Xenopus tropicalis: one gene and its partners. The protein of the gene in region 2 purifies or fractionates together with the protein of the main gene of each other region. This does not show direct contact. Links are inferred from orthologs where the notes say so. Each region holds a gene or a part of one and is shown on either strand. Other genes may lie near its edges.

Region 1 (4,201 bases), on a different chromosome or scaffold from region 2:
GCAGTTAGCAAAGGGTCCCCTAATAAAAGACAGAAACTGTTGGTTGCAAATACATATAGCAACTTGTTGCTCTGCCAGTGTTGGGGATTTACATGTCCCAGAAATCCAGAATAGAGTTACCTTGCTGGAAAATGATGGCGAGCAACTACCTTACCCCAAATGCAGTGCCAATCTTTTCCCTTGATCTGCTTCTCTATGAATCAGGTCAGCAACCCAACCCCACCCCAGCCCCAGTATCTGTATGCTTTAACAACATACCAATAACTTTATTTTTACCAGTTTTACCCGTCGGCCCATGGAATGTTTAATGCTTCTAAATGAAAATGAGCATGTGCACATTCTTTGTAAATGTTATTCAATGTTTCATTAAATTCACAGTGCTCTAAAAAAGTTTTTACGTATTCTCGGCAAGTGTTTTTCGGCTTGCCGAGGATATGCTCATGTGGCATCAGCCTAAAGGTGAAAAAAATTGATGTCAAGCACCTGTGATTCTGTGGAACTGCAGGAAAATTAATACAAGCAGCAACCTGAGGGGAAGCTGCCGAGCACAGTGGGGCCTAAATCACAGAATAGTGTGCAAATCTGGTCCAGGAGGCTTAAAGGGGTTGTTCACCTTTACGTTAACTTCCAGTAATTTGCAATTGGTCTTCATTTATTATTATTTGTGCTTTTGTAATTATTTCACTTTTTATTTAGCAACTCTCCAGTTTGGAATTTCAGCAGTTATCTGCTGTTGTTAGGGAACAAATTACCTTAGGAGAGGACCTGAATAGAAAGATAAGGAATTAAAAGTAACAATAACAATAAAATTGTAGCTTCACTGAGCAATAGATTTTGAAAACTGGAAAGAGTCATAAGAACAAGGCAAATAATATAAAAAAAACTATACAAAATAAATAATGAAGCCCAATTAAAAAGTTGCACCAGCACAAGGACCTGCAGCCAGAGAGACTGATGGTGCTGAGGAAGGGTGCAACGTGTGAAAAACAAGGTGGTTTGCACCCTGCCTAGTACATAGCTCCAAACCAGTTATTATAAATATGTACCAAAACCACAACTGGTATGTATCCACAAATGGCTCAGCATTTATGCAGAAAATATAAGTAATTTGTGTTTACAGTGTACTATATAGTATATACTTTGGTTATGTGTAAGTAAATCTCTCCCTAACAGACTGCTGATGCCCGAGGCGCCTCCTAAGAAATTCCTCACGTTAGGTTCCAAGTTCCGCTACAGTGGGAGGACTCAGGCACAGACAAGAAGAGCGAGTGCACTCATTGACCGCCCCGCACCATATTTTGAACGCTCTTCTAGCAAGAGATATACCATGTCTAGAAGTTTAGATGGAGGTAAATATTTAAATATCTTTTATCTGTAACACTTAAATTCTAGGCTGTTTGCAGCGACAGCAGTGACAACCTAAAGTCATAAGTGGGAAGTAGTTGGGCTCTAAATAGACAGATAAGCAATAAAAAACAACAATGCCAAAGCCTCACAGTCATTCTGCTTGTGGATTCTCTAGCAGCTCACTGGCACATACAAGAGCCAATGTGCAGTGCAGCAATAGTGTAAATCATGGATGAAAGATAGACAGTGTTCTCTAGCATTTAATTCATTTTCTGTGTATTCCTCTAACACTACCTGGTCTGTTGCTGTGTCAGGATAATACCATTTCCATATAGTTATTTTACAGGACAAAGCAAAGCAGCAAACTGCTAGAAACTGTCTCGGTTTATTTCCTAGTGAGGGTAATTGTCAGGACCAGGAAAATAAGGACTTAAGGGAAGATGGGCATTGAGGGTTGTGGATGAGGCAGAGCCCAATAGCATAGTATGAAAAGGATCCCATTCTGCAGATATGTTTTTGACGAGTGAGTGTAATATATTGGCTATATTGGTTGCACTGCAGTGAAAACACTGGGATACATATAAACATATATAGTTAATAGTCTAATGTGGGTAGTGAATAGGACTATAATGGGATAGAAACAGTCTAGAAGTAACACCTTTCTTTTCAAACTTGATGCTAGTTATTGTTGGCATGCTTTAATTTGGGTAGAACGGGCATAAGATGTGGTTGCTTAGCAACCCAGACTTTTATTTTGCCTGTGCAAAATGCCCTTGTGTGCTCTCTTTCTGCTTTGTTACTTCCAGCGATGCCATCATTGGATTTTCAGCAGCAGCCTTTGCAGTAATTAACACCATAACTACATTTTTTTTTCTCTTTCATAACTTTCTGTCTGTCAGGTCATGGAGAATAAATAAACCTAACACCTGTATTATAAGGAATCCATTAGTGACTAATAATCTTGTGTTTTGTCAGCTATGCTTGCATCACATTTGTAATACCCGGTGGTGTAAGTCATTATTTGTGGTTTATTGAAATGTTCTGCACCTTCTTTCAGTACCTTTCTACTAACAGTGCACAAAAGTAAACATGGACAAAAAAATGGATATTAATTGGAAAGTGCATTCCTTTCGGTAAACAGAAATGCATTTGTGCATAGCCCCTTGTGTGTACAGAATGTTCTTTTCTGTGTAATTGCTTTCCTACACTGTATACTCACCTATGCCGAGACATAGAGCCCTGTGTGCTGATAGCACCATCTCTCTACAGTAACTATGCTTGCTGCTGTTGAGACACATTGTGAATTAAAGTAGCATCTAAATATTAAAATACTTATTTTATCATTATGGCCCAATGCTCTTTTCAACCCGAGGCCCCTATAACTATATAGAAGTATTTGGATTCTACGCATGAATGGCCTGCCTTCTGCAAAATGTAACTGAAATAACTGTGCATAAAAATAGGATCATTTGATCCTGCAGATATTTGAAATGTTGCTGGTTTGCTAATAAGGTTTCATATATAAAATGCACCAACTGCATGACTGTAGCACTGCTCTCTTCTGGCTATGCCCAAGCGCCCCAATATTCCTTTGCAATGCTCACGTGTATTGTGTATCACCAGGAGATCCAATTGTGCAATTGCCTAGATGTGTGTGTAATGTCCATGATGGCCAACTCATAAACACTGCTATAGATTTCCAGTTTAATTTTCTTTCTATATCAAAATTTGGCATTTTTATTCTAGCCCCCTTTTGCGATTTCTTTTAATCAAACCATTCCATACTCAGTTTTTGTTTTCAAATATCATATTTGCTTTTAGCATCAGTGAATGAAAACCATGACTTGTACATGAAGGATTCTGTGTCTGCCACAGAGGTGGGTACCGGCCCCTACATCACAGCTAAAGGTATCTCTCAAACCAACTTGATAACTACAGTAACACCCGAAAAAAAGGCAGAAGAAGAGAGGGATGAGGAGGAAGAGAAGAAGAAGAAAGTAGAGATCATCACAACAGTTACTACAATTCGACATGACACAAAGGTACAGATTATGTTCCTTTATCTTTTCAGCAAATGTATTTAAGATTAGAGGTTACATGCTATATAAAATATGTTCCATAATAAAGTGTGCAGCAATGAAGGGACAGCCCTTTAAGTGCAATAGGTGGGGGGAATAAATAACACATAAATATTAAATATACTGCTGCAGTGTTTTTCCTATTCTAATGTACTCATTGGACAAAGTGCAAAGAATCCATGACCTGTACAGTTTTAGTGACTTGTTGAAGGCCATAAGAGGTTTTCAAACTGTTCTTGCTGAAGAGCCTTTTTGATGCTGACAATTTTATAAGGCCCACTTTTGGTTTTAGAAAGAAACAATAACAGAAGGGAAAAGGGGACTCAGAGGAGGAAAGGTTTATATTGTCATGTATGACATGTATCAGACCTGTGAAGTATCTCACATTTAATGCAACACATATTTTGACATGCCCTACCATTCTCATGCAGTTTTCTATTCTTTAAATGTTGTTTTACTCCTTTACTTCTTCCCACTTGTTCTTCCACTTCTGCTCTCCACTCATTATTCCTCTCTTTCCTAACATTCACTATCTAGTTTCTCTTTCTTTGCATGTTATCCCACATTGCCTTTAATTGTGTCAACATTTTCTGGTCTCAATCTGTTTGTTCCCATTCTGTTGTCTTTCTTCCTGTTAATTATCTTTGTCCTCTCCTATTTCACCTTTTTTATTTTCATTAGTGATTTTCCCTTCCTTACAGTTATACTTCACACTTCCACTTTCTTGATGCTCTACTAAACCCATCCTGTTTCCCCTTATATCCCTGTCCTCCACC
Region 2 (4,201 bases):
ATGTGGGTGCCTGCGGCGCAGCCCTGTTTATCTCAGCCTACTTATCCCATTCACTGGCGCTGCTGAGAAACTGATGGCACAAAGGGTTTATGCATCCCAAGGCTGCGGATCCGCCAAGCCCCACGGCAACAATGTCCCCCTTCCCATTCAGACACATCACTAAGGGAGGTTCAAGGATCCAGCCATTAAAAGTTAAATACATAAATAAACTGATGCGGCTTGGAGATCTGCAACTTCAGTTTGTATGAAATAAAGAAATAATGCAATGAAATGCATTTTCGGACTGAAAAGCGCCGGCTTTTGCCATCGCCAATTGTATCTTAATAATGAAAATGGGAGGTGTCGGGGGCTGATTCAGGGGGCTGGCGGCTGGGAAATTGGCATTCAGTCTCGGAGAATTGCTGTTGAAATGTGGAAAAGTTTCCATTAAATCCTAGGGAATTTGTATGTTGTTATTAAATTAAGGGCTTTAGAGACAGGGAATCCTGGGAAACTTGCATTGGCTGCTGCCAACCGTGTCTCAGGGCTTGGGAATCACATTCTGGGATCTGCTATAAATCCTAGCGAATTGGCACTGAATTCTGGGGATATGCATTAGGTACTGCCAAAATGTGCCTCGGACCTTGGGGAAATTCTATTGGATCCCTAGGAATGTGAATCAGATTAGAAATGGACCAATGGGGATCTGAGATGAAGGGTTTTGAATTTTTGGAGTGAATTCTGGGGGAATTGCACTGGATACTGTGAAAGGTTCCTTAGACCTTCGGGAATTTCCATTGGATCCCTAGGAATGGGCATCAGATTCTGGGAAATGTGCACTGAGCCTCGGGTGATCTGCTAGGAATGCTGGGAATGGGTGGGCATATTAAATGACCCTGATGCTTTGGGGCATATTCGGGGCACAGAGATTCTCAATTTTTCTATAAGGTCTCTCTTTAAAAATACAAACTCCTTTTTTGTGAGATTTATATATGATTTTGTATATTTATAGAAATGATCCAGTGGTCGTCTGACTTTTCTAGTTCAAGTCCTTGAGACTTTCCTGCTAATGTCCCCCCACCTCACCCCAAAAACTATCTTTTTTTTTTGTTTGGAGTAATAACCACATGGACTAGGGCCCCAGCCTTCATACAATGCCCAGATCCCGCACATTACTACTCATTACATAACAATCTGTGCTTACCTGGATCTGTCGGGCTGATTCCATTGATAGCCGCTTTGCTGCTCAAGTCAATCATCTGGTGGAGGCGGAGCTTCCTGCAGTATATAGAGGCCCCCTCGGGTTCTAGGGCAATAATCAGCTGCTCTGGGTTCTCAGGTGTTGCCATGCCTGCCTATGGGAGGGGGGAGATAGGGACTTTATTATGAGATGTTCCACATATCTAGTTAATTTGTACTCTTTGGGCAGGGTCTTATGTACCTCCTGTATTTGTTATCTAATGTATATATTTGCAAGTAATCTGTATGTTTAGTGTATATAAGCATGTATTATACATGAGGAACATCTTGGCTCTATAAATACAAACAACAATAATAATGATTATAATAAAATGATTATAATAAAATGTTAATAAAATGAAAAAAACGTAACACCAATTTTTTGTGATGACCAGTAGGTGGAGCTACTACACCACTGAAGTACTACCACTGCCTAAAGGTGGCCATACACGAGCAGATCCGCTCGCTTGGCGATGTCGCCAAGCAAGCGGATCTTCCCCCGATATCCCCACCTACGGGTGGGTGATATCGGGGAGCATTTAGGTTAAAAAAAAAATAATCCGATTGTTTGGCCCTGGGGCCAAACGATCGGATTATGTGGGCGGCAATGGGGCAGTCGGATCGGGGACCAGGTCAACGAGCCGATGCGGTCCCCGATCCGACCAGATTTTCTAACCTGGCCGATCGAGATCTGGCCAATTTCAGGCCAGATCTCGGTCGGCCAGGCCGCTCTGCTCTCCCCATACACGGGCCGATTAGCTGCCGAATCTGTCCAAGGGACCGATATCGGCAGCTATAGTCGGCCCGTGTATGGCCACCTTAAGGGAAACTGTTCCATAAGGAACAAGGAGGCAATCAGGGGTTCTACCTGCTTCCAGCAGCCCCGCAGCGCCCAGCTTTGCACAACAGCAGCAATCAGACCAGAGATACAGCAGCTACCCTATATACAGTTACTGCCTGCCCCCTATATGATATGGGGGTTACACTGTGCCTATATATTATACAGTTACTGTGTGTATAGGATATGGGGGTTACACTGTGCCTATATATTATACAGTTACTGTGTGTATAGGATATGGGGGTTACACTGTGCCTATATATTATACAGTTACTGTGTGTATAGGATAATGGGGGTTACACCGTGCCTATATATTATACAGTTACTGTGTGTATAGGATATGGGGGTTACACCGTGCCTATATATTATACAGTTACTGTGTGTATAGGATATGGGGGTTACACCGTGCCTATATATTATACAGTTACTGTGTGTATAGGATATGGGGGTTACGCTGTGCCTATATATTATACAGTTACTGTGTGTATAGGATATGGGGGTTACGCCGTGCCTATATATTATACAGTTACTGTGTGTATAGGATTATGGGGGTTAACTGTGCCTATATATTATACAGTTACTGTGTGTATAGGATATGGGGGTTACACTGTGCCTATATATTATACAGTTACTGTGTGTATAGGATATGGGGGTTACACTGTGCCTATATATTATACAGTTACTGTGTGTATAGGATATGGGGGTTACCACCGTGCCTATATATTATACAGTTACTGTGGTGTATAGGATATGGGGGTTACACTGTGCCTATATATTATACAGTTACTGTGTGTATAGGCTATGGGGGTTACACTGTGCTATATATTATACAGTCTGTGGTATAGGGTATGGGGTTACCGCCTATATATATACAGTTTACTGTGTGTATAGGATATGGGGTTACGGCCTATATATTATACAGTTACTGTGTGTATAGGATATGGGGGTTACACTGTGCTATATATTATACAGTTACTGTGTGTATAGGATATGGGGGTTACCGCCTATATATTATACAGTTTTACTGTGTGTATATGATATGGGGGTTACACTGTGCTATATATTATACAGTTACTGTGTGTATAGGATATGGGGTTACGCCGTGCCTATATATTATACAGTTACTGTGTGTATAGGATATGGGGGTTACGCTGTGGCCTATATATTATACAGTTACTGTGTGTATAGGATATGGGGGTTACGCTGTGCCTATATATTATTACAGTTACTGTGTGTATAGGATATGGGGGTTACGCTGTGCCTATATATTATACAGTTACTGTGTGTATAGGATATGGGGGTTACACTGTGCCTATATATTATACAGTTACTGTGTGTATAGGATATGGGGGTTACACTGTGCCTATATATTATACAGTTACTGTGTGTATAGGATATGGGGGTTACACTGTGCCTATATATTATACAGTTACTGTGTGTATAGGATATGGGGGTTACACTGTGCCTATATATTATACAGTTACTGTGTGTATAGGATATGGGGGTTACACTGTGCCTATATATTATACAGTTACTGTGTGTATAGGATATGGGGGTTACACTGTGCCTATATATTATACAGTTACTGTGTTTGTCACTTTTATTTCTGGGTGCCTTTAAATATTAAAAGTTATAAATTCAGTTAAACTGTGAAACTGGAAATATTCATTAGGCAGATAAGTGATAAAGGCAAAGCCGGCTCGTTAATATCAGGCAGTGACCTTGGAATAAGAAGAGCCAATCAGAAGAGAAGGCAGCGTTGGCATGGGGTGAGACCATGGATGCCAGGAAGGATAAATACCCAGAGGCCGCACTGTGAATATGGCGCGTGGCGTGAGATGAGGCAATTACGCTCCTCTGGACAAAATGGCAGTAATTCAGCGCAGATCAATGTTACTGCTGTCCCAGGGAATGTGATCACTGCTAAGTGCTTTCCTGGCACATATTCATGCCTTGTAATGGGCAGCCAATCCCCTCGCTCCTACCCACATCTGTGGCCAGGGTCGGACTGGGGGGTGCAGGGCCCACCGGGGCTCCCGCCCCAGGGGCCCTGCAGGTGCCCCAGCCGCGTCCCCTAACCCCCCCCAGGGGCCCCCCTAACCCCCCCCCCCCGTTGGGCCCCCGCCTGACGTCCTCCCCAAGCGC
Region 3 (4,201 bases), on a different chromosome or scaffold from region 2:
GTTGGGATCAAATACAAGCTGCTGATTTATTATCATGGTGAAAAAGGAAATCATCCTTAAAATGTTAGAATTTCATTAAAATAGAGTCTATAGGAGGTGGCCTTCCCGTAATTTGAGCATTCTGCTCACATGGCTCACTGAAACTTGTATGAGGACATACTTGTTGAAGTTCCATGACCTGTATAAAAGCACTCACCTTTTGCCCGTTGTGCCTTTGAATAGTCATTAAACTCCTCTGTGAATTATAATATCCTTATATTTTACAGAAGGGGGTAGATTATTTACTATATCAACAACCCTTAAATTCCATAAGTTGCATTGCATGACCCACTGACACGTGCGTATCATAACTAATAAAGTACTAGCTTCCATGAAATATGAGGATATTAGAAGTCACCTCGATTTCTATGACCTGTATAATAACCTTTATTTATTTGTGAAATTACTTGGTCACTTTGAATATCCTTACTTTTTTACAAAATGGGGTATTTGTACCATTGATTAACCATTATGAAAGAAGAGAAAGAAGTGGGTAATACCTTACCTTTTGTCTCAGGATTCCACAGTCTGTGAGTCTGCTTGTGTGTTCAACTCAGCACTGTCCTGAGAGACAATTTCTTCTACAGGTTTGCTGATGGACATACTTAATTCACTTTCAGTATGTGTAATCTGCACAGTCATTTGCTCTGTACACTCACTGTCTGCAGGTTTTAAAGATTCCTCATGTGTGTGTACAGGTGTGGTTTCTTTATGCTCTTCTTGCAAGGCACAGCCATCATGTAACCCAGTAGCACTGGCTACTGTGGTGGGTTCAGATTCAGGTGCTGCTGTTTCCTGCAAACCCTGTCTCTCTTCAGCCGTCACTACTACTTCTGTACCCTGAGCAGAAACAGGTACAATCTCTTCAACCTCTAAACTATGCTTGTGTTCTTCATGCTGAAATTCCTGAACTTCATCCCCAATGTGAACATCCTCAGTTATTTGTTCAATTTTTTCCACTGATGTTTCAGTAATCTGTACTGTGCTGATAGTGCTGATAGTAATGGTTTGAACAAGGTTGTCCTCACTAGCATTTTCTTCTGTGCATACCGAGACAGCTTCTTGAATGGAAACACCATTTTCTGCTATATTTTGCTCTAAAGTAGTGGTGGCAGCCTCTACAACCAAACAGCTTGCAGCTGCTTCAATTGCGGCATCAACAATAGCTGCTGCTTTCTGAGATACAGACTGTACCACTGTATGTAGAGCCCCAGACGTCTCACTAAGGTCATCTGCACCTTTTGCGGTTTCACAAGCTTCTGTGGTATCTGCTGAAATCTCAATAGGCACAACAGTTTCTGCTAAAATCTGCTCTTGTACAGCTGCAGTATTAACTGTCTCACATGCTTTGATAGCCTCAGAACTTTCAAACTCTGGGATATTTGTGATCACAGTATCCTCAGTCACAGTGGTTGATTGTTGTTCAACAGGCATTGAATAGATTGTTGGTTCTGGCACAGTCTCTTGTTCACACACTGGGACTTCCTCCTGTGGCACGTGAAGAGCAGTAGATTCAAGGCTCTCTGCCAACACAACAGAGTCTAGGGTTAATTCCTCTGATATGTTTACCAACATGTTTTGCATACTGTGCTCCTCTGCAACCGAAGGGATGGTTTCATTAACAGTCTGGGGGACTTGATATGCAAGATCTCTTCCATCAACCATTTCTTCAGGTGTCTTTTCCACAGTCATAACAACATTGTCCTCTTGCTGTTCTACAACATCATTCAGATCTACAGAACATGGAGCATCCATATCAGCACTAAAAGTCAATGCTTTATTATTTGCGTTAGTGTTTTCTTCATCTAGGATAATTACTTCCTTCTCAGTTGCATCTTTTTCAGGGGCAGCCTCTGAGTAATTTTCCACTCTCTGTTCCATATCTGAAGACTGCTCCTCAGTGTTAACAGAGGCACTTTCTATTACCTGTACTTCAACTTCAGCAGAGGCATTTTCTATTACCTGTACTTCAACTTCAGCAGGGGCACTTTCCTTAGTTACATTGGCAGTGACTTCTACTGCCTGTTCCTCTGTAGGAGTAGTGGCATTTTCTCCAGCCTGCTCATCAGCAACAGCAGTAACAATTCCTACAGCCTGCTCCTCAACTGGAGCAGCCATGCATACTGCAGCTGGTTCCTCAGTTAAACTGGTAACACTTTCTGCAGTCAGCGCCTTTGTACAAGAGATGGTACTTTGGTCAGTTTGCTCCTCAGAACCAGCGGTAACATCTTGTGGAACTTGTTCCTCAGTAGCAGGTGTCTCAGTGTCTGTAGCCAAGCCTTCAGCAGTACTCATGGCATTTTCTGCACCTAGTCCATTATCAACAACGGTAGCACTATCAGTGGCCTCCTCCTGAAATGCAGCAGAAGCAGTTTCTTCAGCTATTTCTTTAGTCACCAAGGGAATAGCTTCTGCAGACTGTTCCTCAACACTAAAGTTTTCTTCAACCAGCTCTTCAGTAGCAGCAGCAGGGATCATTTCTTCAATATGCTCCACAGCAACAGGTGTTACACTTTCTGCAGCTTGCTCTTTATCTACAGCAGTGGAACTTTCCTCAGCTATAGTAGAGGTACTTTTCTCATATGATTCCTTAGCCACACTGATTGCACATTTTGCAGTCTCCTCCTCAACAGCAAAAATAGCACTTTCTGCTGTGTCTTCTACAGTCGCAGGGGTGATACCTTCTGCAGTTTGTTCATCAGCAGAAAGGGTGACACTTTCTGTAGCCTCCTCCTCAGCTTCAGCAGAGACACTTTCTGCAGAGTGCTTTTCATCTACTGAAGCTGCAATCTGTCCGTCAGAATCAGAAATGGCAGTTCCATCTGCCTGTTCCAATTCAGCAACACAGACACTTTCAGTTTGTTCCTCAACAATTGTGCTGCCACTTTCTTCAGCCTGATCCTCAGCCAAACTGGGGGCACTTACTGCATCACACTCCTCAAATGCAAGAGGAAGACTTTCCCCAGATTCCTTTGCCAAAGTAGTAGCACTTTCTTCAGTTTTCTCCAAAGCAAGATTCACGGCACTTTCTGTAGCATGCTCCTCAGCGGCAACTTCTGCAAGCTGCTCATCAGTAACTAGGGTGGCACTCTCTGTAACCTGTACCTCTTTGGCAGTACTTGGACATTCACCAACCAACTTTTCAACAGAGGAAGTTTCTGCATGGTGCTCCAAAGATGCAGCAGAAGCCTTTTCTTCACTTAATTCCTCAACATTTATAGTATCACATTCTGCAACCTGCAGCTCATCCACAGTGGGGGCACATTCTTTAGTCTGCTCCTCGCCTGCAGTGCTGGCACTTTCTGCAACTTGTTCTAGACCTGCAGCAATGGCACTTTCTAAATCCTGCTCTTCAACATCAGTGTTTAGACTTTCTACTTCCTGTTCTTCAGGTACGACAGAAATACTTTCTGTAGCCTTCTTATCTTCATCATCAGTTGTGCTTGCTTTATCATGTCCCTCAGCTGGAGTGGTGACTTCCATGGTCTGCTCTATAGTCAGAGCGGGGGGACTCTCTGAAACCGGGGAATCACTAAAACCTGCCATACTGTGGGGGTATTCTGCATATTGTTCTTCCTTCACAGCATCCTGTTCAGCTACAGAAGCAATTTCTGCGGTAAGTGTTGTAGTAACATGTGTGGGACTTTCTGCAACATGTTCTTTCTCTGTATGTTCATCAAACATAACTGTTGAACATTCTGAAATTTGCTTTTCATCTTCACTTGAAGCATTAATGGCAGCCTTGGCAGCTGTGGCAATATTGTTAGCCTGCTCCACTGGCACCACAGGGTCACTTTCTGTTGCCAACTCCTCTTTCAAAACAGAAACACTTTCTATTGCCTGTGTTGCTACAAAAATTTGTGAACTTTCATCAGTCTGTGTTTCAGTCAAAACAAAAGTACTTTCATTTTCTTTCTTGTCAGCAAAAATCACGGCACTTTCTGTAACCTTTACATAAATGTCCGACCTTTCTTCAACCTGCTCCTCTGCTAAAAAGATAGCTCCTTCTTTAGATTCTAAATCATCTGAAGCGTATGGATGTTCCAGGGTTTCTTGCTCATCTGATATTAAAGCAACTTCTTTAACTTGCTCTTCATGAACAGTAGAGGCACTTATGTTAGATTGCTCTTCACTCAATTCTTTTAGTAGCTCCTGTTCCAAG

The links. Proteins that work in one complex are often made in the same cells at the same time.
Region 1: the proteins of hspa12a (region 2) and epb41l3 purify together in Homo sapiens (affinity purification with mass spectrometry; 4 studies listed by BioGRID and IntAct, with this or other methods). This does not show direct contact. The link is inferred for Xenopus tropicalis from reciprocal best matches to the Homo sapiens genes HSPA12A and EPB41L3.
Region 3: the proteins of hspa12a (region 2) and akap12 purify together in Homo sapiens (affinity purification with mass spectrometry; 3 studies listed by BioGRID and IntAct, with this or other methods). This does not show direct contact. The link is inferred for Xenopus tropicalis from reciprocal best matches to the Homo sapiens genes HSPA12A and AKAP12.

What each region holds. Positions count from the first base shown.
Region 1 is NC_030682.2:106,387,838-106,392,038, forward strand, and holds part of epb41l3 (band 4.1-like protein 3), read left to right. Parts: intron 1-1,173; coding exon 1,174-1,349; intron 1,350-3,168; coding exon 3,169-3,389; intron 3,390-4,201. UniProt on the Homo sapiens protein: Tumor suppressor that inhibits cell proliferation and promotes apoptosis. Modulates the activity of protein arginine N-methyltransferases, including PRMT3 and PRMT5.
Region 2 is NC_030683.2:5,385,272-5,389,472, reverse strand, and holds part of hspa12a (heat shock 70 kDa protein 12A), read right to left. Parts: intron 1,335-4,201; coding exon 1,184-1,334; intron 1-1,183. UniProt on the Homo sapiens protein: Adapter protein for SORL1, but not SORT1. Delays SORL1 internalization and affects SORL1 subcellular localization.
Region 3 is NC_030681.2:44,981,550-44,985,750, reverse strand, and holds part of akap12 (A-kinase anchor protein 12), read right to left. Parts: coding exon 553-4,201; 3' UTR 545-552; intron 1-544. UniProt on the Homo sapiens protein: Anchoring protein that mediates the subcellular compartmentation of protein kinase A (PKA) and protein kinase C (PKC).